Sus scrofa: one gene and its partners. The protein of the gene in region 4 binds, or shares a complex with, the protein of the main gene of each other region. Links are inferred from orthologs where the notes say so. Each region holds a gene or a part of one and is shown on either strand. Other genes may lie near its edges.

The links. Proteins that work in one complex are often made in the same cells at the same time.
Region 1: PIGA (region 4) and PIGY share a complex: the UniProt entries of both Homo sapiens proteins name them as parts of the glycosylphosphatidylinositol-N-acetylglucosaminyltransferase (GPI-GnT) complex. The link is inferred for Sus scrofa from reciprocal best matches to the Homo sapiens genes PIGA and PIGY.
Region 2: PIGA (region 4) and PIGC share a complex: the UniProt entries of both Homo sapiens proteins name them as parts of the glycosylphosphatidylinositol-N-acetylglucosaminyltransferase (GPI-GnT) complex. The link is inferred for Sus scrofa from reciprocal best matches to the Homo sapiens genes PIGA and PIGC.
Region 3: PIGA (region 4) and DPM2 share a complex: the UniProt entries of both Homo sapiens proteins name them as parts of the glycosylphosphatidylinositol-N-acetylglucosaminyltransferase (GPI-GnT) complex. The link is inferred for Sus scrofa from reciprocal best matches to the Homo sapiens genes PIGA and DPM2.

Annotation. Positions count from the first base shown.
Region 1 is NC_010450.4:130,524,087-130,531,722, reverse strand, and holds PIGY (phosphatidylinositol N-acetylglucosaminyltransferase subunit Y), read right to left. Parts: upstream 4,153-7,636; 5' UTR 4,081-4,152; coding exon of another isoform or gene 3,878-4,080; intron 2,780-3,877; coding exon of another isoform or gene 2,638-2,779; 5' UTR 2,549-2,637; coding exon 2,333-2,548; 3' UTR 1,740-2,332; downstream 1-1,739. UniProt on the Homo sapiens protein: Part of the glycosylphosphatidylinositol-N-acetylglucosaminyltransferase (GPI-GnT) complex that catalyzes the transfer of N-acetylglucosamine from UDP-N-acetylglucosamine to phosphatidylinositol and participates in the first step of GPI biosynthesis.
Region 2 is NC_010451.4:114,823,233-114,829,460, forward strand, and holds PIGC (phosphatidylinositol N-acetylglucosaminyltransferase subunit C), read right to left. Parts: upstream 2,747-6,228; coding exon 1,853-2,746; downstream 1-1,852. UniProt on the Homo sapiens protein: Part of the glycosylphosphatidylinositol-N-acetylglucosaminyltransferase (GPI-GnT) complex that catalyzes the transfer of N-acetylglucosamine from UDP-N-acetylglucosamine to phosphatidylinositol and participates in the first step of GPI biosynthesis.
Region 3 is NC_010443.5:268,419,406-268,427,156, forward strand, and holds DPM2 (dolichol phosphate-mannose biosynthesis regulatory protein), read right to left. Parts: upstream 4,153-7,751; 5' UTR 4,105-4,152; coding exon 4,102-4,104; intron 3,809-4,101; coding exon 3,719-3,808; intron 2,448-3,718; coding exon 2,345-2,447; intron 1,571-2,344; coding exon 1,512-1,570; 3' UTR 868-1,511; downstream 1-867. UniProt on the Homo sapiens protein: Regulates the biosynthesis of dolichol phosphate-mannose. Regulatory subunit of the dolichol-phosphate mannose (DPM) synthase complex; essential for the ER localization and stable expression of DPM1.
Region 4 is NC_010461.5:11,877,761-11,884,797, reverse strand, and holds part of PIGA (phosphatidylinositol N-acetylglucosaminyltransferase subunit A), read left to right. Parts: intron 1-1,014; 5' UTR 1,015-1,076; coding exon 1,077-1,794; intron 1,795-5,900; coding exon 5,901-6,033; exon of another isoform or gene 6,034-6,719; coding exon of another isoform or gene 6,720-6,781; coding exon 6,782-6,914; intron 6,915-7,037. UniProt on the Homo sapiens protein: Catalytic subunit of the glycosylphosphatidylinositol-N-acetylglucosaminyltransferase (GPI-GnT) complex that catalyzes the transfer of N-acetylglucosamine from UDP-N-acetylglucosamine to phosphatidylinositol and participates in the first step of GPI biosynthesis.

The DNA.
Region 1 (7,636 bases), on a different chromosome or scaffold from region 4:
TTAAAAACCAACAATTTACTATCAAAAACAGGCACTTACGTGCAAGGTTAAGTGCTAGAATAGAGCGAAAAACATACGGGACTTAGGAAAACAGTAAGGGCGTCAGGCTTGGGCCAGAATTTGAATCTAAGCATTTTGATTCCTCATTCCATTTTTCACATAAATAGAAAAGATGAATTTGCTCAAAATAAAGCTTCGCTCTGCAGGGACTGAGAAGGCAAGTCACACCGCCAAGTGGTTTCAACTTCAGTTCAAGTATTAATTGTTACTCTGGGTAAACCACTTAATCTCTGTGCTCTAGTTTCCCTACCTGTAAAATGGTGCCGATACTTCCTACCCAACCCCTCATATTTGTGTGTGATATGCTCATTAGAACTATCCCTTATGTAGCTTGTACTATACGAGTGATTGCTAGAGGAATTCTACTAGTGAAAGGATAGAGTTAACACTGAGGTCCCCCAGGGAGACACTAGTCAGTTTCCTCCAAAATGATTAAAATGCTTAACTTTTGCAAGCTGAAACTGACTTTTCAGAACAGGGTGCTTGTTCTTTCAGCAAAATGGTTTCATTTACACTGACTATAGAGATATTTAGGGCAAATTAAAAAGAACAGTAATACCATTTCAGGAAATGACAGGTACTTCTATTGTCTCCTGATTATTTGTATTTTTCCCCAGGGCAATTTTTTTTTTCTTTGTAGGGCTGCACCCAAGGCACATGGAGGTTCCCAGGCTAAGGGCTGAATCAGAGCTACAGCTGCCAGCCTACACCAGAGCCGCGCCAGATCAGAGCCCTGTCTGCGACCTACACTACAGCTCACGCCAACGCCTGATCCTTAACCCACTGAGCGAGGCCAGGGATCGAACTTGCAACCTCATGGTTCCAAGTTGGATTTGTTTCCGCTGCACCACGACGGGAACCCCCCAGGGTAATTTTTAAAACGTGACTTGCACTATAGTGTATACACTGAATTAATGCAACAGAAAACACATCTAACCTTATACTTTATTTTTTTCTAGGGCCGCACATGCGGCTTATGTAACTTCCCAGGCTAGGGGTCTAATTGGAGCTGTAGCCACCAGCCAGAGCCAGAGTCAGAGCAATGCCAGATCTGCTCTGCATCTGCGACCTACGCCACAGCTCATCGCAACACCAGATCCTTAACCCACCGAGAGAGGCCAGAGATCAAACCCACAACCCCCCAGTTTCTAGTTGGATTCATTAACCACTGAGCCACAACAACGACGACGGGAATGCCTAACCTCATGTTTTAAATTTTCTTTTTAAGGGGAAGAATCACTGTCTAAAGCTTCTTTTACACTACTTTAAAATTCTATTAAGAATCAGTTAAGGTTACATTGAGTTCTTAGGCTTCATGAGGGTAAATACTGAAACATTTGTTATACTTCTGAAACAGTTATTGTACTAATCAGTCTTATTGAAAATTCTGGAAAATCAATAACTATTAATGTGTCAAATGCTCATGCCCTTAGTATTGCTAAATAAATAGGTCTCTTATGGCAGAAAAATAAACTGAAATGTGGCTCAATAATCGCCCTAACTAAACTCAACAGGACACAATCAGCTATTTGCCAGTCTTTCAATTCCACCTCTCCTCACAGCACATACTTTCCTGGGAAATTCTGTTCTATTTTGGGTGCCTCTCTAAACATATAATTTCCTTGTCTTTGAATTATATTCTTGTGACCAAAAGGAAAAAAAAAAAAAAACCAAACACAAAACTGCAAATTGTTTTATGGAAAATGTCAATATCTTATTAATAATGTAAGCCATCTGATGCCAAAGAAATGAAGGCAATTTTACCAACTCAGAATTTTGGCAAGTACATGAAATTTACATTTTATTATAGTTTTATATCACACTAGTCCAAATGCATTTCTCTACAATTACTCCCCATAGCTCCTTGGAATTATCTCAGTCATCCTTCACATGTGGCTTTACCAAAGGCTTTGAACCTAAAAACAAACCTACAATTTCGAATTAGTAATTTTTAATTATGAATGGGATAAGAACAAGCCATCAGATGATGGCTGTGGGGGTGCTAATTTCCAACAAGCCACTTTGTTGAAATGTTTCTTCCGAGAGACCAGGTATAAATCAGAACCTTCAAAAAGCAGGGGAAGAACCAAAATACAAGAAAGAAGCCTCTTGCAGCTTAAACGTCACATAGTCCTAAACCTCTGACAAAGGCTAATAAGCAAAGCCTCTTTCCTGCAAAGTCTGGGTTTCCAGTATTTCCATGTGGCGGAGCTTTCGGACACACTCACTCAAGCATATCATGAGTTTAAATACCATCGTGGCTCCGGCTGCGTTAATTATGCCGGAAGAGTTTAATACCCATCCAAGTCCAGAGGTGGAAGAACACGTAAACGGGGATGGTGATGGGCAGGAGCAGACTGTAGAAGCACAGGCTGGCTGTGCTGGTGCAGCCCTGGGGGAAGCTCTCTTCCACGGAGGCGGAGTACAGCAGTCCTCCCAGAGAGACCAGGGGGACAAGGACAGTCAGCGTGGGAAGAGACAGAAACATTCTTCTCTCCCACCCACCACCCGCCACGCTGGCTTCTTCGAAGGTGGATGGTGTTTAGAAAATTTCCTTGTGTTGTGTTTACGTATGACCTAGTGCTGCTTCATTTCTTCTTGCTTCTTATTTTGATGTGTCATCCTAGCTGCCTGTGGTATCATATTAGGAATCCCGTCAATAATCGGATAGGCTATTCCCAGCTCTTCATTAATCAATTCATTTGTCGATGGTTCATATCTGAGGGGCAGAAGAAAACCAAAATGAATCCCGGAAGAGTCTGAGGTTCAATAAACAGTAACATTTATCCAATTCTTCACACAGTTAGAGCCAGAAAAGCAGAATTAGACTGTTTTTCATTCTAAAAGCAGCAGTAGCCAATTCAACCATTTCTCTTAGAAAAGGAATCTCTAATTGTTCCCATTTTAGTCTGTTTCTCTCATTTTCTTTTTCACGTTATTCTTAAGCTATGCCTTAGTGGAAAAAAAAAAAGAAAAGATCTCTCCTTTTCATCCAAATATTCCTTCATGACTCTTTTAAACCCTCAAACGATCCCAGCTAATTTACTACTGGAACAGACACGAGAGGAAAATTCAGCTTCTTCGCTTATCAGAACACCTGCCTCACTGATCCATGAGAAGGAAACCACGGAAGCAGCAATCTACCACCCAAAGGCAGCCACTGATGACACTGCGGTGTTTGCTAGTATTGTCCACGTTCAGGTTTAGCAGCCTGCAACTGCAGAGATGTTTATCCTAAAGAGTCTAGGTGAAAGGTTAAGAAGGCCTTTACAGAACCGGCTGGTCGAGAACTAAAAACCAAAGGGCCGCACACGTAGCTGATGCGCTTAAGATCCTACCCGGCGTTTTCGCAACAATCTGGAAGCTATCACATTTTTCATCGCCTTGCCTTAAAAATCTGAATGCCATGGATTAGTCTTCCGAATCCCGAGTTCATAACCCTGGCTGTACAGGAAGATCACTTGGGATCCTTTCAAGAAAATACGCAGTTGCTCTGGCTCGGCCCCAAGGCCTTCGGATTGAGCCCGGGTGGGGCGTTGCCTAGAGATCTGCGTTTTAAGAAGGATTCCCCCGAGATTCTAAAACGCTGCCGGCGGAGAAGCTGCCCGCCAGGATCCAGGCCTGCGAGTGGCCGGTTTGGTCCGGGAGGCCTGGGGCTCGGCTGGGGCCTCCTCCCGCCCTTCCCGCGGCGGAGCGAGTACCCGGGAAGCTGGCGGGCCCGGGTCCAAAACATGGCAGCGAAGAACACCCGGGTGACCTGAACGTCTCCCCGGCGACAGGGGGCCACCAGGGAAAAGCCGCAGCGGACGAATCTTACCTGAGCGGCTTCTTGGACAGCGGGCACACCAAGAACTCCAGCAGCGCCGGGTCGAAGGCGCGTGGCGGTTTCCCCTCCTTCTTGTTCTCGTCCGCGGACGGCCGCGAGCCCGAAGCGTGCAGGCACCTCCTGGCGACCGCGGACGGCGGCGCGCGTGTCCCTCGCAGCGCTAAGGCGAGCCGACCGCGCGCTCCGCTCAGCATGGTCTGGCCGCCGGCGCGCGGACCTCCGCACCCCCTGGGCCGCTCCGGCCGCTCCAGCCGATCCCGGGGAGTCCCGCCCAGGCGGCCAGGCCCCGCCCCCCGGTGCTCGGGAAACGCTGCCCCCGACGGCTGGAGGCCCGCTCTTTGGTTCCGAGGGCGCTCGGGACCCGACTGCTTTTCCCGCGGCACCGCTCGGTATGGAGAGCCCCGCCTGCAGCCTGGGCTTTCTGCGGCTCTTCCTGCCCGTTTGCAGGTTGCAGACAAAACCCACGCTCAAGTGGAGGCGTCCTGAGTTTTCACCAGGGCCTGTCGCAGGGCCTCCAGGAAGCCAGTGGCCGGACCTCAGAGTCACACAGTGATAGACTTGGACCTCCGTGGTTATCACCAAAAGGAGGTTTCCAACACACTGTCACACTGGGTATGTTAAAAAGCATTACTTGTTTTATGTGTATCTGTCAGTCTTTGCAGTACCACACTTCCTATAACCTTGTTTGGCTTTTTTTTTTTCTCCTTTCATTAAAAAAAATATAAGAACGGGAAAAGAATGGCTTAGTCCTCTTAAACTTAAGATGCCCAGTTTCTTACCCTGGGCTCAATGGCATAATAATAGCACCACTCATTTGCTTCTGTAAATGAGCTTGGAAACCGCAAGGAGTCTAAGTAACTGTGTCCTTTAATTAAGTGGGTGATCCACACAGTGGTTTTTTTCTCGCCCCGCATTTGCTTCTGACTCTCCCAGAAAATGATGCGGATTTGATCTCTTTCTTATAGTGTAGGAGGTAAGTGCCGGGGGTCCGGGCCTGACACCTTGGTCCCAGGTGCATCGTTTACTAGTTGTAGGGCTCCCGCAAATCTCCTAACTCCCCAGCTTTCTTTTCTTTTTCTTTTTTTTTTTTTTTTTTTTTTTTTTGTCTTTTTGCCATTTCTTGGGCCGCTCCCGCGGCATATGGAGGTTCCCGGGCTAGAGGTCGAATCGGAGCTGTAGCCGCCGGCCTACGCCAGAGCCACAGCCACGCGGGATCCGAGCCGCGTCTGCAACCTACACCACAGCTCACGGCAACGCCGGAACCTTGACCCACTGAGCAAGGGCAGGGACCAAACCCGCAACCTCATGGTTCCTAGTCGGATTCGTTAACCACTGCACCACGACGGGAACTCCCTCCCCAGCTTTCTTATCTGTGTAATTAGATTAATTATTGTTCCTACCTCATATAATTCCATCCTGGGGCTTAAAATGTGCTAATGAATGCAAAGAGTATTTAGAAAAATGCCTGTGGCAAATGAATGCTCAGTTAATGGCATATGTTGTCATTTTTATTTTCTCTATTCTTTGCAGCCCAGTATACTAGAAGATTCTTGGTTAGTCATCAAAATCCACCCCCTTTTTTTGTCCTTTTAGGGCCGCACCTGCAGCACATGAAAGTTCCCAAGCTAGATAGAGCTCAAATACGAGCTGCAGCTGCCAGCGTACACCAGAGCCACAGGAAAGCCAGATCTTAACCCATTGAGCGAGGTCAGGGATCAAACCCGCATCCTTATAGATACTAGTTGAGTTCGTAACCTGCTGAGCCACGAGGGGAACGTCCAAATTTTCTCGTTGTCTCGCTAAATATTGAATCTTTTCTTGCATCGTTGGGGCTTTACCACTTCACACTTTGAGCTCCTGGGAGGTGGGGATAGGAGTTGAGGGATATATAGATACACATACAAGATTGTATGTCCAAATTTCTCTTCCACTCAGCAGTGCAAAAGCAGAGGCAATTTGTGTTGTCTGTTCACTCTACTTTAAAAAATCTACTACATCATTGGATGCTCTTTGTTCACTAATGTGCAAAAGATTTCAGCCTGAGGCAGCTGTCAGGGATGTAGCCTCAAGAGGTCCCGTTGTTAAGTTCCTATGTTATTTCCCACTAGACCATAGTAGGAATTAATTTTTCAGGTGTAGTTAGTTGATACCTTGGGCTCTAGGGAAGGAGTGAGGTATAGGAAAGAGGGTTCAGCAAGGTATTGCAATGCAGAGCTTGACTTTGGCTAGCTCTGGTGGGCCAGGCCGGAACCCAGCCCCCAAGGTAGGAGCAAGCACCCATGCTTAAGACAAGCTTTTTAGTCTCAACTCACCTCACCTGGCTGATAGAGCCTCATCAACTGAGTTTTCTAACCAGTTATAAATAGCTTCAGTGTGCATCCACGAAGAAGGTTGGAAGCAGATCAGTTTAATTTATATTAGTATTGGGGAGAAATGGAGAGTACTAGCAAAATATCGACAATATCTCAAGTTTATAACACCCCAAATCAACATCCAGTATTTAAGGAACATCTGAGAGTGTGAAGTATTAGCCGAAACCATGTAAATATGAAGTTGCAAGATGTCAAAGCAAAAATGTTTCTCAACAGCCCTCAGAAATTAAGGAATCCAACTTATTTCTGCATGGTAGTATCCTGAGCTGAATGTATAAAATTGTATAAATTGTATAAAATTGTGAAATGGGTCCTTTTTACTATTGGCATGGCTCGGATCTTTCCCATCACAGAGCTCTGGGCTTAGGTACCATATTAGCTGTGTGACCTCTGAAAACTCTTTGCCTCAATCTTCTCATCTGTAAAATAGTATCATCATACTACCTACCTTATTAGGGTCGTTGAGGGGATTAAATCAATTCATACAAGTCAAGCAGCTAGCATGGGGGCTGGTACAGAGTACACATTATAAGAATGTCAGCAGATCGGTGGAATTCCTTATGCTGAAGATGGAGAAAATTCTGATAAGAAAGGAAATCACAGTATACCACTGGGAACCTTTAGTTTAACTGAACGTGGAATTTTGATAATTTCCAGTGTGGATAATACTGAAACATAACTCTTAGGTTATCACACCCATTACGTGAGTTAGAAATCTCCAGGCAGTGGAGAGGCTAGAATATACATTTTAAGCGAGTTCCATAGGCATTCCTGCTGTGGTGCAGTGGGCTAAAAATCTAACTGCAGGGGCTTGGGTTGCTTCAGAGGTGCAGGTTCAATCCCCAGCCTGACTCAGAGGGTTAAAGGATCCAGGGTTGCCACAGCTGCAACTGGGATTCAGTCCCTGGCTGGGGAACTTCCACATGCTGCAGATGCAGCCACAAACTAATAATAATCAAATCCCTTGGAGTTCCTGTCATGGCTCAGCTGTAGCAAACCCAACTAGTATCCATGAGGACGCCTGTTTGATCCATGGCCTCGCTCAGTGGATTAAGGATCCAGTGTTGCCGTGAGCTGTGGTGTAGGTCACAGACATGGCTGGGATCCTGTGTGGCTGTGGCTGTGGTGTAGGCTGGCAGCTGTAGCTCCGATTCCACCCCTAACCTGGGAACCTCCATATGCTGTGGGTGTAGCCCTAAAAAGAAAAAAAAAAAAATCAAGTCCCATAAATACCAAATTTGGGACACTGAAATTTGGGAATCTCTGATTCAGAGAAGTTAAAATCACTTTTCCACTAGATGGCATCATCCAGTATCTGAACTAACAGTTACTGCTGTCTGTACGTTTCTTTCTGTGATTACAAGATTTGCTTTGATTT
Region 2 (6,228 bases), on a different chromosome or scaffold from region 4:
ATGTGAGGTGCCAGATCTGAAGACAGAGGTTGCCAATCCTGTTCAAGACTTTTGAGAAAAACAAAAAAACACTACTTCTTAGGAATACCACTGCCCTGATGAAACTTCTGACTTGAAATTAATTTCCAGTGAGAAGGGATAGTACAGGAGTTTGCCCCAAATGAATTTTTATGAAGAACCAGCTATTCCTGGAGGTGTCTGATACATTTTGCACTCTCTGCCCTCTTTAAGTCTCCCTACATGTCAGCTCAAAAACAATAGCTAACACATTCAGAGCTGTGTCTGACATTCTTCAAAGCACTTTTCATACACATCATTTACTCATCACAGTCCTAGAGGTAGTTTCATTCCCATTTCACAGATGAAAAAAATGAGACAAAGAACACTTGATTCATTGGCTCAAGATATAATAACCTACTCCCTCCTTAGATAAGCTGAATTGCTCATTACTTGCGTATAAAGCCTAATATTCAGACCCCTGTTAAATCTCCCATTCCAACTTTTCCTCAAATCCTTGTAACTCCCATTGAACTCTTCCCCTTCCTTATGCTCCTGCTAAGAGCATACATGGTGCACTGCACAGTGGTAGTCACATTTTGCATACATGTTATCAGGTCTGATTTAAATTTGACAGCACTTACAAGTCAGATTGTAATTGTAATTACAATTACAGCTATGGTGACTTCATTTAAACTTTACCTGGACTCCTAAGGATTATGAAGCCAGGACAAAGTTCTGACTAGAAACAGTCAGCCAGAACAGAGCAGTGATTACCTTCTTTGGACAGGGCATGCCATCTGCAGTTTTCCAGCTGCCATTAGTCACACAAAGCATGCTAGCTTCACTTGCTCATTGCTGACCTGCCTCCTAAAGGTCTTTGCTACTTTGCCCTCAAATCATCTTTTGCTTAAGAGAATTCCACTTAACCTCCAAGACTAAACTCAAATGCCATCTCCTCTAATATTTCCTCATCACTCCAGCTTGCTTTGACCTCCTGCCTCTTTGATCCCCCTAGCATTTTGCTTATGTATTATGATACATCACACTCCCCTTGCAGTTAATTACATACATGCTTCTAGAACTGAGTAGAAACTCTAGTCAGTTAGGTGACCAATTCTGTGATCTGAGGCAACAAAACTGGATATAGCATCCAGGGTCCTAGGATTTGAGCTGGAGATAAATAACAGAGCCTGCATTTAGTACACAGAAAAAGGCAGACAGAAGTGACTTTACATGCACACATATTTTTTTTCTCTCTCTCTTTTAGTGCCGCACTCATGGCATATGGAGGTTTCTAGGCTAGGAATCCAATTGGAGCTGTAGCCGCTGGCCTACACCACAGCCACAGCAATGCCAGATCCGAGCCTCATCTGTGACCTATACCACAGCTCATGGCAACGCCAGATTCTTAACCCACTGAGCAAGGCCAGGGGTCGAATCTGCGTCCTCATGGATATTAGTCAGATTCGTTTCCACTGAGCCACGACAGGAAATCCACACACATATTCTTTGTGTCCCTTTTGTCTGTCTTCTGCTTACAGAAAAATTGTGAGACAACTTGATGGATGTGTTGTTAATTTTTTTAATAGATAGAAACCACATCACTTCATTTGTTACATTGAATGAGAGGCAATAATTGAAGAGGGCCCCACAAAGCTTTTCCCGCCACAAAATAACAGAAAGGATAAGCACCTTCACCACCCAAGCCTTTGGTTAACTTTTTCTTTTGATTTCTGATCTCCCACCCACATCAGCATGCTGCTTCCAGAATGGAATTCTGCCTTCGAATCTTATACTAGTTGGAGGGCTAGTCTATCAGTTTGTCTTAGTAACAGAATGGAAGTCACCAAACTCAGCTGAGGAACCTGGACAAGTCTTCTTTGATTTCAGCCTCATCCCAAGGCCCATGAATGTTCTCTTTAAACAGCTGCAAGCGAATGAGGTAGAAAGGACAGAGACATGAGATGGAAACCAGCAGAAGGGCAAAGAGTATGGCTCCCACAACACTAATGGACAGGAGGCCTCCCAAGGCTGAAAATGCAAAAAGCAGTGTGACTCCCACATAACTGCAGGGAGTACATGCCTTCAGTTTTTTCTGTAACATGGGCCACAGGGCAAAAATCTGGATGGCAAATGTCACCATGATGAAGGCATGTAGGGACCGGGGCAGGCGTGAGGCAAGGCAGACAGAAGCAAAGATGGCCATGTTCAAGGACAGTGTGCTGGATACAATGGCAGCATTGGCACCATAGTCAAAGAAGATGAGGTGGCCCAATAGCATGAAGACTGACATGGCATAGATGGTGTCAGTGCTGACAGACTCTGTCAGGGTCTTCAGCACCGGTGAAAAGCCGTATGTGAAAGTAATGAAAACTAGGGCACTCTTCAAGTCAGCCCACCGGGTCCGCCCACTCTTCTTCCGTCCTTCACCTCCATCAATGAGATCAAACAAAACATAGCCAATCAATGAAGAGGCCAGGCCAGTCCCGAAAAGCCAGTGGGGTGCCAGAAGACCCTCATCCATATACCACCAGATAACCACAAAAACACAGACACTGCATAGCTGCTGGATCACCACACTGGACTCAAATACTACAGCCCAATACTGGTATTTCCGGGCATAGATGTTTTTCCGGAGCTCTTCCAGGAACCTTCGGTCCACATAGTTATCAGGAAAGGGCTGTCGCTCATACAAGACCTTCTGCCACTTGGCCTCTTTGGTGTTAGTTACAGGCTGTGAACACATTATCCTTTTGCTCAAACTCAGGCTAGTTCAATCTCCGTTGTAGAAGTCCATGTGGTTCTTGTTCTTTATAAAGTTTTGAAATAAGACCTCTCTGGAAATTTCATGTTGAATGTGGTTGATATGGTACCAACCTTCCCTTGCTTTCAAAGGCAGAACCCAGGCTAGACCTTTAGTAGATGAGTTTGTTCTCTGAGGCAGGACAATATAGCCAAGTTCCTAGAAAAAGAGAGACTGTGAATCTATGAATGTTGTGAAAGGTCAAGGGTAGGACTGAGTTAAAATCAAACCAACTTATTGGGTTATCATAAGCTTATTAGAAGTCTGAACAAAATATATATGGTGGCCATCATGTAACTGAGGACATTAAAATTTCATTTCAGATTTTACATTATAATCCCTTAGCAGCTACCATTTGTCAAGAGTGCATACTATGTACTAAGAGCCTTACGTAGCTTCTTTCATTTAATCTCCACAATCCTGGAGATTAACCCAACTAATAAAGCAGCAATTCAAAGTGCTTAGGTAACTTTAGCCCAAGTTAACAGTGGTAATTAGTGGAGCCAGATTCAAAGGAAACTTCTTTCCCAAAGGCTTCACATGTCTCCCTCTAAACTAGTTCTTAACTCAGGGGTTCACATATCCCTGAGGTCTATGGATGGGCTTCAGACCCTTCAACAACCCTCCCAGTCAATGCATATTTGTAGTTGTAATTTATGCAGATTTCTAAGGCTAGGATCCAAAGCTTTTACTGGGTTCTCAGAGGCATCTATTACTGAAAAAAGTTACCGGTCTAAAAACAAAAACCTCATAATAATAAAGGTACAAGCTCTAAGGTTTATTTAACTAAAGCCAAGGACTGGAGATTCTTAATCCCTTGACCGAGTTTAGCAGCCTTAAAAAGAGTTATCATTCTACTTATTTAACGCGAAACTCTAGGAAGGATCGGAGATAATGATCTCCTTTCCACTACTGCAAAACTAAGAGTCAGAAATACCAAGATCATCCAGCAGGTCTGCGAAGAAAATTCTTATGGCCCGACCTTACGTCTTCCATGGAGACCATGATAGGTTTTGCTTCACAAACCAGACGCCCTGGGAGGCTCCCTCACCGCAGCAGGGACCCCAGCCCCGGCATCTCACGGCCGCCGCAGGGGGCTGGAGGGTCCCAGGCGCTGAAAAGGGCAACGCCCGCCCGCTGGGTCGGGGACAGGGCTGGGGAGGGGGTGGGGAAGGGGAGGGTGTCCCCGAGGGTGTACCCCGCCCGCCGCCACCCCTCACCCAGCCTCGGCCCTGCGGGGGATGGCGGAGGAGGCCCGGAAATACTGACTCCCACTCGGAACCCACCTGCCCGCGAGTTCCTAGGGGTGCGCGGCCGGGCGAGGGCGGCCGCCCGCCTCCTTCCCCATCCGGGGCGCCGGGGTCGCGCCGGCGGCCGAGCACTTCCGGGGCCGCCACAACCTCTGCGGCCAGAGCGTCCTTCCTCTGCCCGCGCGGCCTTGAGGTCACTGCTGCCCCCTCCTGGCCGCGCAAGGGAACTCCCGGCTCCTCTCCCTAGAAGAATGGGTGATGCCTGGAAAGCAAATCCTGGACATGGAGATTGGGATTTGGCACCAGAAAGGCAAAGGACAGAGGCTGGACTGGGAGAAGAGAGATTATAATGGCTACTTTGATCGCGCTCTATTATGAAACCAGACCTTCGGCTAGGGACTTTCGAAGCATCCATGAATACACTAGACACATTCACTAAATTTCTGCAAGTATCAAGCACTGCTGTAGGTGCTAGTGATACAGCAGCTAAGCAATAGAAAAAAAAAAAAATTCCTGCCCTCGTGGAACTTTCTGACTCATGCATTGATCTGTGAAGTGATAATAATGTCGTCCTTTCGCGGAAGACAAAACTGATGCTGGGAGAGGTTGTGACTTGTCCAAGGCCATGCTGCTGGAAAGTGGATTAGTCAATATCAACATCCACTTGTTTTACAGCTTCATTAACCAAGACTGACATCCAGTTGTCTGTAGCTTCAAAGTACAGTTCTTTCTTCTTTGTCTCCTAGAAGGGATGAGGGAGAAGGGCCCTGTGACTGAAAGCAGCCAAACACTTAGAATAGGAGGCTGATAAAGTTCAGTTGAAGTCATGGACATTTTAGAGGATACATAAACAGCTAGGAATAATGAAGAAGCAAAGGGATATAGTAGACACAAAAGTCAGAAAACCTAAATTCACTCACTAGCTGTGTGACTTAGCAAATCACACTAAGATTTGATTTCTTCATCTGTAAAATGGAGATAACACTGTTTACTCTTGGGAGAGTCAACAGGGTCAAATACAAAACTTAAAAATGTTTTATAAAGTGTTGACTGCACTGACTTTGGTCATCCTAACAATGGCAATGGTCGGGAGGAATAAATCCTGCAAAATGATCTCTTTCCATTTCTCTCCAGGTTTCTGTTCCAAGATTTGACAAGACTCCCTGGTTTAGCAAGGCCAGCCTCACGAACAAGCCATTAATACTCAGCCTCCCCAAAAGGTAATAGCTCAGCCACTGAGAGCAAAGGTCTCAAGAAAGACCTCATAGAAGATGATTTCTTAAGAGTTAGGGGCAATTATTCAAGGGGCACAGCTGGTCGGTTGAGGGAAAGAAGTAAAGTGCTAAAAAATCAGAAATGGTCAAGGTTTCTGAGACAAAAGTGAGCCCTGAGAATTGGCCTGGCTGAAGAAGGCCAATTAACCTTCCTCTGTACCACCACAACTAAACAATACAAGAGAATTTTTGGGAGTTCCCTTTATGGCTCAGTGGCTTGAGAGTCTGATATAGTGTCTGTGAGGATGTGGGCTCAAACCCGGGCCTTGCTCGGTGGGTTAAGGGTCTGGCATTGCTGCAAGCTGCAGCGTAGGTCACAGATGCGACTGGATCATGACTGGTGTGGGACTTCGATTGCAGCTCTGATTTGACCCCTAGCCCAGAAGCCTCCATGTGCTGCAGGTACAGCCATTAAAAAAAAAAAGAGAAAGGGGGAAAAAGGAAGAAAAATATATACAAAAGAATTCTACCCATAGGCACTGACTTTCAAAAAACTTCCATCCTCTTCATCATTTTACCTTTTCTCCTCGCATTAGTTTGAAATTTACAAATTTTAACTGCGACCTATGCTGCAGCTGTGGCAAAGCCAGATCCTTAACCCACTGTGTGGGGCCAGAGATTGAACCCTCACTTCCATCTGGACCTGAGCGACTACAGTTCAGATTCTTAAGCCACAGTGGGAACTCCTCCTCCCCCAGTTTCGATGCTTGAATTTGGTGACAGACACCGGGCTGGAAGGGGGGAATGAAAGGGAGGGTAGGTAAGAGGTTCACGTAGGGGTGAATGGGAGAAATCAGGGAAGATTAAGGAAAGGGCAGGCCAGGAGACAGGTCCATAGGCACATCATAGATGAAAAGTTGGCTCCCTGGCATGTAACGTCATTTGCTAGAAAGACTATACT
Region 3 (7,751 bases), on a different chromosome or scaffold from region 4:
GAGGTGAGCAAATGCCGGGACTTCCTTTTGGGAAGCCTGGCTGTGAAGGAGAGAGACCTGGAGGGAAGCACTGGGTTGATGGGGCAGAGAGGGGGGGATCCCTTAAATGGAGCCTGTAACACATTCATCGAACCCTGAGCAGACCAGCTGGGAGGAAGAGGCTGTTCCCTTGAGAGGGATCCTAAGACATGAGGTTCCTGCTACAGCAGTGGGAGGAGACAGGACCCAGAGCCCTGGCCAGCAGCTCTGCCTGGCCCGGAGGGTGCAGAGAGGAACAGGGAAGGACAGGCAGGTGTAACGGCAGTTGGTGTCTTTTCTCTGATGAGGGCGGCCCCTCTGCTAAGCGGGGGAGAACGAATGTCCACGATGTGAGGGGATGAAGGCTTACACTAGGCACTGTGGACAGGAGAGCTGGCTGCCCAGAGGGACACGGTGCCACTGCCGGGGACTGGGGCTGGGGCTTGTGCCAGCCAACCTAAACACAGTGGAACCAGCCCTGCTCTGGCTCACAGCAGCCCTCGCTGCTCAGAGCCACGCTAAGCTGGGCGGCCGGGTACCAGAGATAGATGATGGGCTTGAGCTTTCAGAGGACTGGCCTGAGGGTCCTTAAAATACCAGGCCGTGCTGGCTGAGCTGGCACAGATGAGGCAGGGGAGAGGGTGATGTGGCGTTGGCAGACTGCCATGCCCCACGGACTCCCCGGGAGCAGCATCAGGCCAGACCCATGTACAACCCCAGGAGGCCCCTGAGGCACCCTCATTGCACAAACCAGGGTCTCCTGACCTGAGACCAAGGCAGAAGCCAGCTCCCAGCCCCCTCTCCAGCCCCTGGGCCGCCCAGCTCCCCCGGTCAGGATGGCACTGAGACAAACACACCGTCAACGTTTATTGTTGTACCCCCCCCCGCCCCCACTACAGACGGGGCTGGGGGCTGGGCCTCCACAAGAAGCAGTCAATGGGGGGCCCTACCGTGGCCGCCCTAATGTGCCGGCAGCCTGTCAGGCCTCCCCCCAAGCTTTCCAGGTCCAGAAATCCTCGCAGGGCCTGGGCCTATGTCAGACCTGGGAAAGCAGCCTTTGGGGAGGAGCAGGGTTGGTGGGGAGAGGTCCTGTGATGGCCCAGAACCTGCCAAGTCCAACACCAGCATGTGACAGGTGGGGAAGTGAGCCAAGAGTGTAGACCCGCAGGGAAAAGTGCCGGGGAGTCCGAAGGTGGCGGAGGGCAGGGGCGATGAGCTGCATCTTTCGGGCACTGAGCCAGAAGGGGGTGAGAGGGAGACTTCCAGGGACGCCTCCCTCCTGGCTTCTGGAAGGGGGAGGAGGGGAGGGGAGGGGCTCTGGGCAGTTGGGGGGCGAGTCCTGAACAGCTCCGTCCCCCTTGGGCCGGGGGGGGCCTTCAGGGCAGCTGGGCTTGAGGGGGGCCTCAGGGCCTGGATGGGTCCTGTGGGCCCCCCGCCTGGGTCTGCCCTGGCGAAGAAACGGAAAGGGCCGCAGCCTTATATCGGCCAGGCCCTCACTGAGCCTTTTTGGTCACCTTCTGGCTCTTCAGCATCACGGAGGTGATGAACACTCCTGGAACACACGGGCCAGAAAGGCCAGTTAAGGTCCTGGCTCAGGGCTGCTGGGAGGCCGGAGCAGGACAGAGCATGACAGAGGGACCCGCAGGCGGGGCCAGGCACCGACCCAGCCACCCTCCAGGTTCCCCCGGTCATCTCCCAAGTGGCTCGCTAAGCCACACCCCCACCTATATTCATTCAACAAACATCAGCCGAGGGCTGACCACAGGCCACCTGCTGGATTTGTGTTTCCGATTTTACAGGGAATAAGATCCACCCAACCATCCATCGACTCAGCTAGTCAACCATCTGGCCACCTACCTCCCCAGCTGCCCACTCAGCACCTACCATCCACCTACCCCATCATCCAGACACCTGATTGCTGACTCACTCAAATGACTTTTTTGAGCACCAACTCAGTGCCACAGCATGTGCTGGGCACTGAGGACACAGTAATGATGAAGATACAGTCTTTGGCCTTAGGAAGCCCACACACTAAACCCTGGGAGTCAGAGGGGTGCAGGAATCAGAGGCCAAAGTGACAAGGGGGTGAGGGGTGATGGTGGTGGAAGGAGCAGGAAACAAGGAGACACCCCATTAGAGTCCAGTGAGCCTGAGGATCGAGAAGCCTGCAGCCCTGAGGGATGAACACGGAAACCCCAGGGGGTGAACTGAGGGCAAGGAGCCTCCAGCAGGTGTACCGCAGGGGCCAAAGTACAGCCGCATGTTCAGGTGTAGGAGAGGGTCATGGGGTCCCTCAGACACCCCGCCCAGGGTTGGGAGAACTTACCCACAAAGAGGAGCAGCAGGAGGCCGGCGGCCAGCGGGATAGCAACAGCATAGGCCCGGGGCAGGAAATACTTGTGGATGACATGCTGACTGTCAATGAATGGCTGGCACAAGGGCAGAGCTCCGGTGAGCATGCCTGGCTCTGCTGAGCGCCCCAAGCCCAAACATCCCACCTCCTCTGTCTCAGGGGCTGACCCCGTCAAAGCGCTGGGGCTGCATTTGCTTTTCTTTAAGATGATGGCATCTTGGGTGCTTTGGTTGGTTCCCTTCCTTCATTTTTCTACAAGTGGTATACTAGGTACTTCCCTGGTGCCTGCTCTAAGCTGCTGCTGGGGACCTGGCTTAAGTCCCCCACAGCTTAGCAGGGGCAAAGGGTACATGAGGAATCCCAATCTGGGCTCCAAGATCTTTTGTTTTTGTTTTTGTTTTGCTTTTTAGGGCTGCACCCTCGGCATATGGAGGTCCCCAGGCTAGTGGTGGAATCGCAGCTACAGCTGCCAGCCTACATTACAGCCACAGAAATGCGGGATTTGAGCCGCATCTGCAACCTACACCACTGCTCATGGCAATGCCGGATCCTTAACCCACTGAGCAAGGCCAGGGACTGAACCCGCAACCTCATGGTTCCTAGTTGGATTCGTTTCCACTGCGCCATGACGGGAACTCCACAAAAGTTTTCTTTACTAAGATTTTTCTCCCAAAGAACATCAAGTTCTGCAAGATTTTGCTTCCCAGAGTTCCTGTCGTGGCTCAGTGGTTAACGAATCCGACGAGGAACCATGAGGTTGTGGGTTCCATCCTTGGCCTTGCTCAGTGGGTTAAGGATCCGGCGTTGCCATGAGCTGTGGTATAGGTTGCAGATGCCGCTTGGATCCCACGTTGCTATGGCTCTGGTGTAGGCCGGCAGCTACAGCTCCGATTCGATCCCTAGCCTGGGAACCTCCACATGCCACGGGAGCGGCCCTAGAAAGGCAAAAAAAAAAAAAAAAAAAAAAAGATTTTGATTCCCAAACACACTGCACATTTTAACACATTTTTCCACCGGGGGGGGGGGGGATATCCCAAAGACCCTCACAAAACCCATTGGCACTTGTCATGCCCAGGAGCCCGCAGGATAACCAGAAGGACTAGAACTCCCATTAAAGGCACAGGACCTTACAGTGTAGTGGTTCAGGATTCTACCTTAGGTCTGAACCTTCTCCTTGAGCCTCGGCTTCGTCATCTATACAATGGGGACACCGCTAGTGTCGTCCTCCTACTGCTGCTCTGACGCTTTCATTACATGGGCAGGTAGGCCTGTCACGTGCTTAAATGTTAGGAGTTGGCTTCAAGATCTAGGGATAGGAGGTGAGAGCGGACGAGGAAGCACACATACCAACAGAATCACCCAGGTGGTGTAGTACGTGAAGATGATCAGGCTAACGGCGACGAGGCCGAGTCCCACCACCTGGTCTGTCCCTGTGGCCTGGAGAAAAGGGAAAGCTCAACTGAGGAAGTGACCCTCCATTTAGGTGCACTAACGGAGGGGGGAGTTGCCGCCTGATTACGCCCATTCACTCAGCAGGCGTATCCGACGTGGCTGACGAGGTTTCCATTTCCTGGCTTGAGACAGAGTGCAGGCTAAAGACCTACCACCCGTACGATGGGCCGGCGGGAGAGTGATCCCGGCTCCCGAGAGCTCAAGCCTCAGCTTCTGAGTAGACCTAGGACCCCACACCCAGACGCCCTCATTCCCAGGACTCCCAGCCCCAAGCTCACCATTTCCCCAGCGCTCCAGGCACCGGAGCCGTAAGCCACATCCGGTTCCGCATCCGGGCCCTCCTGGCCTTGGGCCGCGGGGCCCGTCGGGAGTCGTAGTCTTTAGGCAGTCCCAGGACTACGTCGCCCAAGACAGGCAGGCACCGCCTCCCCTTTGCATTTCGGGAAATGTAGTTTTCAAGAGTATTGTGGGCCGTGTTTCCGAATCACCCTGGGAAATGGGACCCAGTGGGGAACCCAGATAGGCTGCATTTATGGTCTCAGTCGGGTCGAACTCGACCCAGAAAAAAACCCCATCTCAATATCCGAGTCCCAAGGCCAGAGCGGGATGGGGTGGGGGGTCGAAAGTCCCATATTTGAGACGGGGAAAATGAGGCTCAGAAAGAGGCAAGCACTTGAAGATCACAATCCGAGTAGAGGGTGCAGCCGACTCCAGAACCCGAGGGCGCTACTTCCTGGTGTGGTGGCCCCAACTCTTCTGTTGAGGGTAGGGTGCAGACAAACGTTCACCGGATAATGCTGAGGGTGGAAGCCTTAACTAATTTTACTCCACAATCTCTTAATGATACTGCAGAAGCTATTCCTACCCTAAATATGGAACAAAAACAAATAAGAAAAGTAGTGCTGCAAAACCGAATGGCCTTAGACATACTCAGTGCAGGCCAAGGAGGTACCCGTGCTGTCATAAAATCTGAATGTTGTGCCTATATTCCTGATTATTCGCAGAACGTGTCTGATTCCCTGCGAGATCTCCGGCAGCAGATTCGTGAGATGTCTGATCCAGCTCCATCCAGCTTTTAGAGCTGCCCTCTGGAACGGGTTGACCTCCTCCTCCTCCTGATGGAAATATTTGTTCACCATAGTCATCATTGTGATCTTGAGCCTTTTATTTGGACCCTAGATAATTAATTGTAGGTCTTGCTTTGTTATGTCCTGATTAAAAGCTATCAACCTACAGATAGTGAAAGAAAGGGTACCCAAGGTAATGTATTGAAGCCCACTCAACCGACCGTGCCATGAGTGGAGACCTAACCACTTTCCCTAAGGACACCCCTTGTCAGCAGGAAGCAGTCAGAGCAGTCGGTCATTGTCCCCCCGCCTCCAAAGTTAAAGTCTCCAACTCTGGGGGCAGGGGGGGGGGGCACTGAGGCAGAATAGTCACTCAGGTAGTCAGTGTTAGGAGCTTGGGCTTCGATGCATTCTTGGATATGTCTATTGATTAACATTTGCGGCTAAAGGGCTCCAGGGAGTAACATCCCCACATGCCTTGTTTCCTCCAGGGAGTGTACCTACGCCCAGACGGACATTAATCTCAAAGCCCCCTGACTCAGGCTACGGGAAGAGAAGGGCAAAGACACCATGGGACTTACGGGACATTTCCACCCCTAAGACCCTATTGGACAAGGACTGAACTGGGCAAGGCCAATGGGAGAAAACCACAGCTTTCTGGACCTCACGTTGGTTACCCCCCCCCCATCTTTAAGGGATAAAAACCCCAATAGAGAGTGGGGCTCTTCTTGCCCTTCCCAGCTGTCCTGGGAGCTGTTTGCTTTCCTGTAATAAAGACTTTGCTTGCTTGCAAAAAAAAAAAAAAAAAAGAAAGAAAAAAAAAGATTCACCAGCCTGGAGTGGGAGGAGGAGGGTCTGGCTTGAGTTGCTGGGATGGGGCTGGTTTTGATTGGCTGTGAGGGCACCCCTTTACCGTTGCCAAGCTTCTCTGGCGAGCCGCTCTTCACTGCAGGAATGAGGCCGGGGTGGGGATCCTCCCTCCCCTCTGCCTCTCGGGTCCCGTGTGTGCCACAGCCCAGACAGGCCTTCTGACCGGTGTGCAGGCCCCTCCCTAGGCCTGGAGGCCAGATCACCCACCAGGTCTTCAGCTCGAGGCCTGGAACACTGTCTTCCCACGGCTAGAGGCTGCTTTTCACCCATCAGGTCCACTGGAATCCCCCACTTCCCGGGAAGCCCTCACTGCAGGGCAGTGGTTCCGTCTGTGCTCCACAGCCCCAAGTATGTCTCCAGGAGGATACTTGTCACTGCATTTAATTTTTATTTTTTAATTTTTTTTTTTTGTCTTTTTGCCATTACTTGGGCCGCTTTCACGGCATATGGAGGTTCCCAGGCTAGGGGTCCAATCGGAGCTGTAGCCACCGGCCTATGCCAGAGCCACAGCAACGTGGGATCCACAGCTCACAGCAATGCTGGATCCTTAACCCACTGAGCAAGGCCAGGGACCGAACCCGCAACCTCATGGTTCCTAGTCGGATTCGTTAACCACTGCACCACGACGGGAACTCCCAACTGCATTTTAATTAGCTGATTTACTTTTGTGGATCCAGCCTAAATGACTATGAGCTCCCTGAGAATGGGGTCTGTGGTCCCTGCTGTATCTCCAGGACCCAGAATGAGGGCTTGGCACAAGTAAGAGCTTCCCATAGCCAAGCAGCCTGAAGATTTGGCGACTTCTGGAATGCTGCAGAGCCCAGTGTCTGGGGACGCCAGGCCTCTGGAGGGGTCGTGTGTGCTGTCTTCACTTGGGGAGATCAGGTCTGAGCCTGGCATGGCCTGCTCCAGCGGGCAGCATCTCTCTCCTCGGGTCTGAGCTCATCTCAAGGCTGAGAGGCACCTTCTCCCCCTACCATTTGGTACACTGAATTTTCACTTAGCATTACTGTTCCAAAGGAGCAACCTTTTGGGGCCTACAGCCCAATTCCTTCCCTCTTGGTCTCAGGAGAATCTGAGCTCAGCCAGGAGCCAGCTTTCCCTCCCCGAGTGCACAGAACAGAGGAAGGGACAGAGAATCAGCCTCCAGGGTTCACAAGGGCCAGGAGTGGGCGCTGGCGCTGAGAAGGGCTAGGGATAACGCAGCGCTGCTGCAGGAATGAGGCCTGGTGGTCTGGATCTTTCCAGCTTGTCCAAAGTCCTGAGGCTTCCTGCCCCTTCTGAGCAGAAGTGGCCCAGGGTGACTTGTCTCTCCCGGAGCTTGGCTGTGGAAGCTCCTCTGTAACTGGAGTCGGGGGCAGGGAGTGAGCGGTGGTCCAGGCCTGGAGACAGGGCTGGGAGGTGCTTGGCACCCGTCACTGGCCAGGATCCCCGTGGAGGGTAGTATGCCCACTTCCTCATTTGATCCACGACTGCATTTGCAGCTGAGCTATCTGAGGCAGAGTTATTTGTCCTCAGGCATGCTTGTCAGAAGCCACCCGACCCTGGGGAGGTTAGAACTTGGTCTCATCTATGAGATGAGACCTGCCACCTCCTAGGTGTGAGACGGGCAAGAAACTGCCCTTCTGGGCCTCAGTTTCCTCCCTGGAGTAGTAGCAGTGGTCATGACTCTGACTGCAGCCAGGACGTGGAGAACCCTGGCCACCTACATCTTCCCCACCCCTAGAATGTCACCTTATACATCTGGCTGTTTCTTTTTCTTTCTTTTTTTTTTTTTTTTGTCTTTTTGCATCTTCTAGGGCTGCACCCGCGGCATATGGAGGTTCCCAGGCTAGGGGTCTAATCAGAGCTATAGTCACTGGCCTACACCAGAGCCACAGCAACGCGGGATCCAGGCTGCGTCTGTGACCTACATCACAGCTCACGGCAATGCTGGATCCTTAACCCACTGAGCAAGGCCAGGGATCAAACCCGAAACCTCATGGTTCTTA
Region 4 (7,037 bases):
CCCAAGCCTGGGAACATCCATGTGTCGTGTGTGCGGCCCTAAAAAGACAAAAAAAAAAAAAAAAAAAAAGCTGCTCTAAAAGACCGTTCTAGGCGTTCATGCTGTGGCACAGTGGATTAAGAATCCAACTTCTGTGGCTTGGGTGGCTATGCAGGTGCGGGTTCCATCCAGGCCCGGCCTAGTGGGTTAAAGGATTCCGCATAGGTCCAGCCACGGCTCATATTCAGTCCCTGACCAGAGAACTTCTATATACCATGGGTGCAGCCATTAAAAAAAAAAAAAGAACAAGAAAGTTCTAACTCCAGGTATATCTTAGTATAAGCCACAGAATTTATACTAGCAGAACTTGAGATTCATTGAGTCGGTGGCTAAGCTCTAGAATGAGCTTCACAAACTTTTCCTGTAAAGAGCTATGTATTTAATTATTAGAATGTACTGGTTTGTTAGCATGGCAAATTATTATATAATGTGGTGTAACAAACATTATTTAAAATCCTGTAGCAGTGTTTTTAGAGCAAAATTAAGATGTAAGGGGAGTTCCTGTCATGGCACAGCGGAAACGAATCCAGCTAGGAACCATGAGGTTGTGGGTTTGATCCCTGGCCTCTCTAAGTGGGTTAAGGACCCCGCCTTGCCATGAGCTGAGCTGTGATGGAGGTCGCAGACGCGGCTGGGATCTGGCATTGCCATGGTTCTGGTATAGACCCTCGGCTACAGCTCCAATTCGACCCCTAGCCTGGGAACCTCCATGTGCCGTGGGTGCGGCCCTATGAAGACAAGAGACAAAAAAAAAAAAAAAAAGATACCAGGACATTGCAGAAGCTAGTTTTGTTATATGGCCCATAGTAAATGCTAAGCAAGCAAAGGTTGTTGAATTCATAAATTCATTATATGCTTTGTATTTCCAGGGGGAAAACAGGTTTATAGTAACGTGAAAACCATATTTATATCTGCATTTGGAGTATGGACTGTATTTTGTCTCTGAGCTGAGATCCCGTTTATTCTCTCTTTCAGGTATTAGAGGACACATATCTTAACTGGGTCCCTCCAAGGACTAATGCCTAAACCATCTCAGCATGGCCTGTAGTGGAGGAGGTGGGCCAAGCCAGCCTCCCTCACCTGCGCTCTCCTCTGTCAGCCCTGGAAGTCTTCCCACATGTAGATCGTGTTCCCATAATATATGCATGGTGTCGGACTTTTTCTACCCAAATATGGGAGGCGTGGAAAGCCACATTTACCAGCTCTCTCAGTGCCTGATTGAAAGAGGGCACAAGGTCATAATTGTCACCCATGCTTACGGAAATCGCAAAGGCATCCGTTACCTCACTAATGGCCTCAAAGTCTATTACTTGCCTCTGAAAGTCATGTACAACCAATCTACAGCCACGACCCTCTTTCACAGTCTGCCATTGCTCAGGTACATATTTGTTCGGGAGAGAGTCACGATAATCCATTCACATAGCTCCTTTTCTGCCATGGCCCATGATGCCCTCTTCCACGCCAAGACAATGGGCCTCCAGACAGTCTTCACGGACCATTCCCTTTTTGGATTTGCTGATGTCAGCTCGGTGCTTACAAACAAGCTTCTAACTGTGTCTCTTTGTGACACAAACCACATAATTTGTGTCTCTTACACTAGTAAGGAAAACACGGTGCTAAGAGCAGCACTGAATCCTGAAATAGTGTCCGTCATTCCTAATGCTGTAGATCCTACTGACTTCACTCCAGACCCATTTAGAAGGCATGATAGTGTAATAACTATTGTTGTTGTCAGCAGACTTGTTTACAGAAAAGGTAATGAAATGATAGCTGCAGTTGCACTGCACAGCCTTTTTGTTTTCCTTGTAGAAAGCTGTTGAATATTTGTGTATGATGATTGTTGGGCTTTTCGTTCTCTTGTACGGTTTTATAACTACTTCTGCATTAAATACAGCCAAGAAGGGTCCAATATTTTGTCCATCCCAAAGGAGGAATTTGTGCCACAGTGGTAAATCATTTAAAAGAGAAAACAGTAGCCTGCTGGTGAATATGTCAGGTCTTTTAAAAGTTTCCCTACACGTGCAGTAAGAACTCCAGGGCCCACTCCCCCACAGAACTGTTTCTTTCATTGCAGATATGTTGAAAACTAAGAATGTGACAGGGGTGAAAATTAAAACCAGCTATTACTGTACTATTTCAGGGATAACCCTAAGGAGTGTTTTGATTTATAGCTTTCCTTTTTATGCATATGCTCAAAGTCAGTGGGCTTGTTCTGCACGTTGCTGTTTCGTAGCTTGCTTATTTCCTTTCATCACAGATAAGACGTTAATGGCAGGTAAGTGATGAAGGAAGGGGGATGAGGCGGCCCGGAATCCAGTCCCGGCTCCATCTCGTTGTGTGATGCAAGACAAGCGGCTTAACGTCTCTGAGTTTCACGTTTTTTCCCTGTTGTGTGCTCTGGGCAGCTTGGTAACCGTGGAAGGGTTCAGTGGTTCCTATGAAGGACTTAGCCCGGGTTTTACTTCCTAAGTGTCTGCTGTTGTCGGGGATTGCTTTAGTGCCTCTGCAGCACTTTGTGGATCCCGAAGTAGAATTTGTAGAGCCTCGCCCATTCAAGGTCTGAAACAGTCCGGTTATCCAAAACATGGACTTCTCACTGGTATTTGCAAACCTCTGCAGCAATCAAAATGGTCATTAAAAGTAGAGAATTATTAAAAAGATGTTATGCACCCCCCTTTTAAACAATTTACTTAAAATGTCATTAACACGCACTGTATTGCCGGTAGCTTGATGTAGGCCTGCAGGCTTGGGAGTACAGGTGCACTGTTTGAGCTGCAGTCACCTACAAAGAGCACAATTTACTGTTGCCAGTTTGGGTCACTTAAATGCAGTGAGAACCTAAAGATGTGTGAAGTGCTGTGCTTCTGGATTTTTAATTTGTTTTTTGACTTGATACAGTGGTTCAGATTACCCTCTAATCTGACAAGAGCTTTTTTCTGTGTCTTGATCGAATTTTTCAAACAGGTCGGCTTAGTTTTGTGGAAACCCCTTTTGTCAGTTTGTCATTTAATTAAGTAATCCAACACCGTAACAAGTACATGGGGCATCACACAGATGTGTGGGCAGAGGTAGCTGATTCTTGGTAACCATGAAGCTCGGCCGTGCGATCAGAGGTTCCAGGGTACTAGGGGGTGGCCCAGGATCCAGATGGGGGCTTGGCTTCGGGTGCTTCATTTTTGGAATGCAGAGCCTAGGTCCATGCTGCCATCCACCACGCGGAGGATGATGAGAATCTTCTGAGCTGCATTTTCAGGGGTGAAGGCAATAACGTGCTTGTTCTTTCCTTGAAGGTGTGAACAGACCTGCATTCCGTGTTCTGAATCCCTCTGGGGATATTGATGATATGTTGTTGGTTGTAACTTTAAAAATGTGCCTAATTTTTTTTTTCACCGAATACTATAGCTTTGTGAGAAAGCTCGCTAAGAAAGAGTAGGATGCATGTGTGGTCAAGGATTAGAGCAAAATTAACTTACCTGTTCAAAGAGTGAACTTGTTACCTTTATTTCACTAATGATGGTATTTTAGCCAGCTGAGCTAACCACCAACACTGTGAAGGTACAACCTTTCCTGTTCTCAATTCAATAATATAACAAACCTTTATCAAACCCTCTCTGTATGCCAGGCACTGTGCAAAAAGTAACATTCTGAGAAGGAATGGCCCCATCTTTAGCCTGAAAGTGAGTAGTTGTATTAATGGTCCATTAATTATTAATAAATTAATTTCTTTAGGAGGTGTTCATTTGGACCAGATATCAAAGGCCGCTTGGAACGTATTAAGTAAGAGAGGATAAATCGAAATTCGTATCAGGATTCCTGGCCGGCCGCTTCCCTCTCCCATGGAGCCCGTTTTGCTCTCATTCGGGGTGTCGCAGCGCCCCGTGCTTGTGCAGGCACGCCGGGCTTGCTCTAGTGGTAATGACGACTCACATTTATATTCTGCAGTTGATAAAGCCTGTGCATGGTACTGTACCTCACTTGACCCTCCCACCAGCTGTAGGGTAGATGTTATCTGCATGTCACAGACAAACTGAGTCTCAGAGAGGGTAAGTAACTCACCCAGGTTACACAGTAAGTAACAGAGATGACAAACCTGAGTTCATTTCTTCTCAAGGTCTCCTGTTCCCTCCGCCCTTGGCCCAGCCACCAATATCTAGGTATAGATTCAGAAGATTCTTTAAAATATTGTTAGACTGTGCTTTAAAAGCGCTGGAATCAGAACTTGCCTTGTCCATTTTGTGTGAATACGGTGATTGAAAATCTCTTTGTTACGTTCCATTGTGTTAGACTCTTGTTAGAGGCACCAGAACCTCTTTTGTTGTGTGTGTAGGGGGGGGAACCTTTATTCTTAGAATAACGTTATAGATCATTGATAACATTAATCAGTTCCATTTCTTTTAAGGTAGTTGTCAGGATTAAATGACAGTGCATTTAAAGTACGTTTGCCTGACACAGTAAGCACTCAGTAAATGTTCGCAATTATGATTATTACTCTGTATGTTTTTTTTTCCTTTTAAAGAATGGATCTTAACCTTTGTATTAGAAGGGAGAGGGCAGGGATAGGCAAAGGAAAAGAGAATCATAGGAGGCTAAATGTTGAAAGTCATTAAGACACCTTCTGGTTTATCTGGAGATCCAGTTGATGGACTTAGTAGTAAACTTGAAACAAAGACAGCTAAAATTTTAATGAGAAGCTTTCATAATTCAGAAAAGCTACTTGTGAATTTGTTTGCTAATGCAATCATATTTTGAAAGTACTAGCAGAGTTTATTTAATAAATCCTACTTTGAATTACTTAATTAAAATGACCCATATATATTATTTCTCCTACCATCCTTTTAATAATTGATCTGCCTGTATTTGGGAAGATTGACAGACGTGCAGTTCTTGTGTGTGTGTGTGTGTGTGTGTGTGTGTGTGTGTGCGCGCGCGCATTTCTTAAATTAAGAAACTTTAAGGAGCTTATTTTACGTTTAGTTTTGAATGTGTACAATTTGTAATTGTTAATGAACTACATTCTCAAAATCAACATTGCTGTCACTTTGAATGGCCACTTTAAGACAAGCAGGGCATGCTTTATTTTACTGCTTTATGTTACCTGAGGTTGTATTTACGTATTATGAGAAAACTTTTATTTAAAAAAAAAAGGTCCAAGGTGCATCCTTTTGTTCTACGGCCTGTGATGATCTGGCACTTGCGGTCCTGCCGCCTTCATTTTCTGTCATCCAGGAGAAGTGAGCCCTAGCAGGTTTGGATGAAACTATTTCTTAGAAATTTTGCCAGTACCATAGTGTTCACTGCAAAATCCTCTGTAGCACCTGCATCCTCAGTAAAGTGGCAGTAGCAGTTATGCTTTGCTGCTCAGCCTTTTCCTATAGCAGGAAGTAGAATCATAGGCTGCTCGAATTTCATAGCTGAACGAGACCTTGGACTTTACCTTGTCTTTTCATTTTCTCTGTCAGGAAACTTTCCTATTACCAAAGAACTTGCTCATAAAAAGACTGGGACAAGACCCAGATCTCCAGTCAGCTCTCCTGCTCTGTAGAAAAGTTTAAAATGTTAGCTACCTCAAATGCTGTTTGTAACAGGCAATGTGTCAGTACAGGTGAATAACAGAGTAGCCCACGAACTGGGTGTGTGGAAGGTCACAGTGGGTGTCAGTGGATATATCTTCAAGAATTGCAAGTCTTGGGAGACCCCCCTGGCATTTTGCAAAAGAGTTCACCCGTCCAGGAAAGGTTTCAAAGAATTAGTTTGGCTACTTAAACTGTTTAAGTAGTTTCCAAAGTGAGTGGATTCTCAGTAGTTCTGATAAAATTTTAAAACAACATTAGTATCTCCAATATTCAACTTTATGTTTTCAGGGACCGATTTGCTTAGTGGTATAATACCTGAACTCTGTCAGAAATACCCTGATTTAAATTTCGTAATTGGAGGAGAGGGACCAAAGAGAATCATTTTGGAAGAAGTTCGGGAAAGATACCAGCTCCATGACAGGTATTGATGGATTCCATGTTGTCTTGGGTGAGAAAATATTGCTTAACCTAAATTCGGTTTTGGCTACCTGCCTGCCTTAAGCAGGCTGCTTCTCCTACATGGAAAAATGCAATGCAAGACCTGTTGTTTTTTTAAAAAGTTTATATAAAATGGGAAACCTTAAAGAATTTATAACTTTGTTTTTTTGTTAGCCCGTGATTATTTGTTTTTAGGGGGCAGTGGTTGGGGCACGCTAGCGCACACAGAAGATCACTTTGCTAGGAAATGCTTGCAGGTTCTCAGGCCCTTCTGAGTTGTAATTGAAACAGCATGGCCCAAATCGCGGACATTGCTCAGCACATACGGAGCCTAACACTTCTCTTCCGCAGTAACTGAGATGACACGTGAGTTGTGTCCATGTGAGGCGTCAGTGGAAAAGGGACATTTTCCTGTTGGGAACTGACACTTTAACATTTACTTACCAAGGCGTATTAACATTTTCCTTGAGTACCAGCTGATTCTGGAGAAGGTGAAATTTGATATGTGTGACCAAAGTGAGAAATGGACTAACCATAGGAGTTTTTAACCAAAGAGCTTTGTATGACTCTCTTTTAGATCCCAGGTGGGTGCTCTTTAATCATTTGAGGTGGAAGACATTGCAGGTAGTGAGGACGAAGTATAGTACGGGTAGCACACGTGGCATATAAATGGTATTTCTTTTGTGGCATGATTTTTACTCCCCTCTTTCTTCTCTCATTTCAAAAATCAGAGTGCGTCTCTTGGGAGCCTTAGAACACAAGGATGTTAGAAATGTCTTAGTTCAAGGACATATTTTTCTTAATACTTCCCTTACTGAAGCATTCTGCATGGCAATTGTGGAAGCAGCCAGTTGTGGTTTACAGGTAAAAAGCTCTGAGGGCTTATTACATTTTGGGTTTCTGTATTTGCGTTTTGAAAAACAATCAGATGCCTTCTATAGAATTTTTTTAAAATTGTGTTTTGCTTATTTTCCTGAGAGATGAATT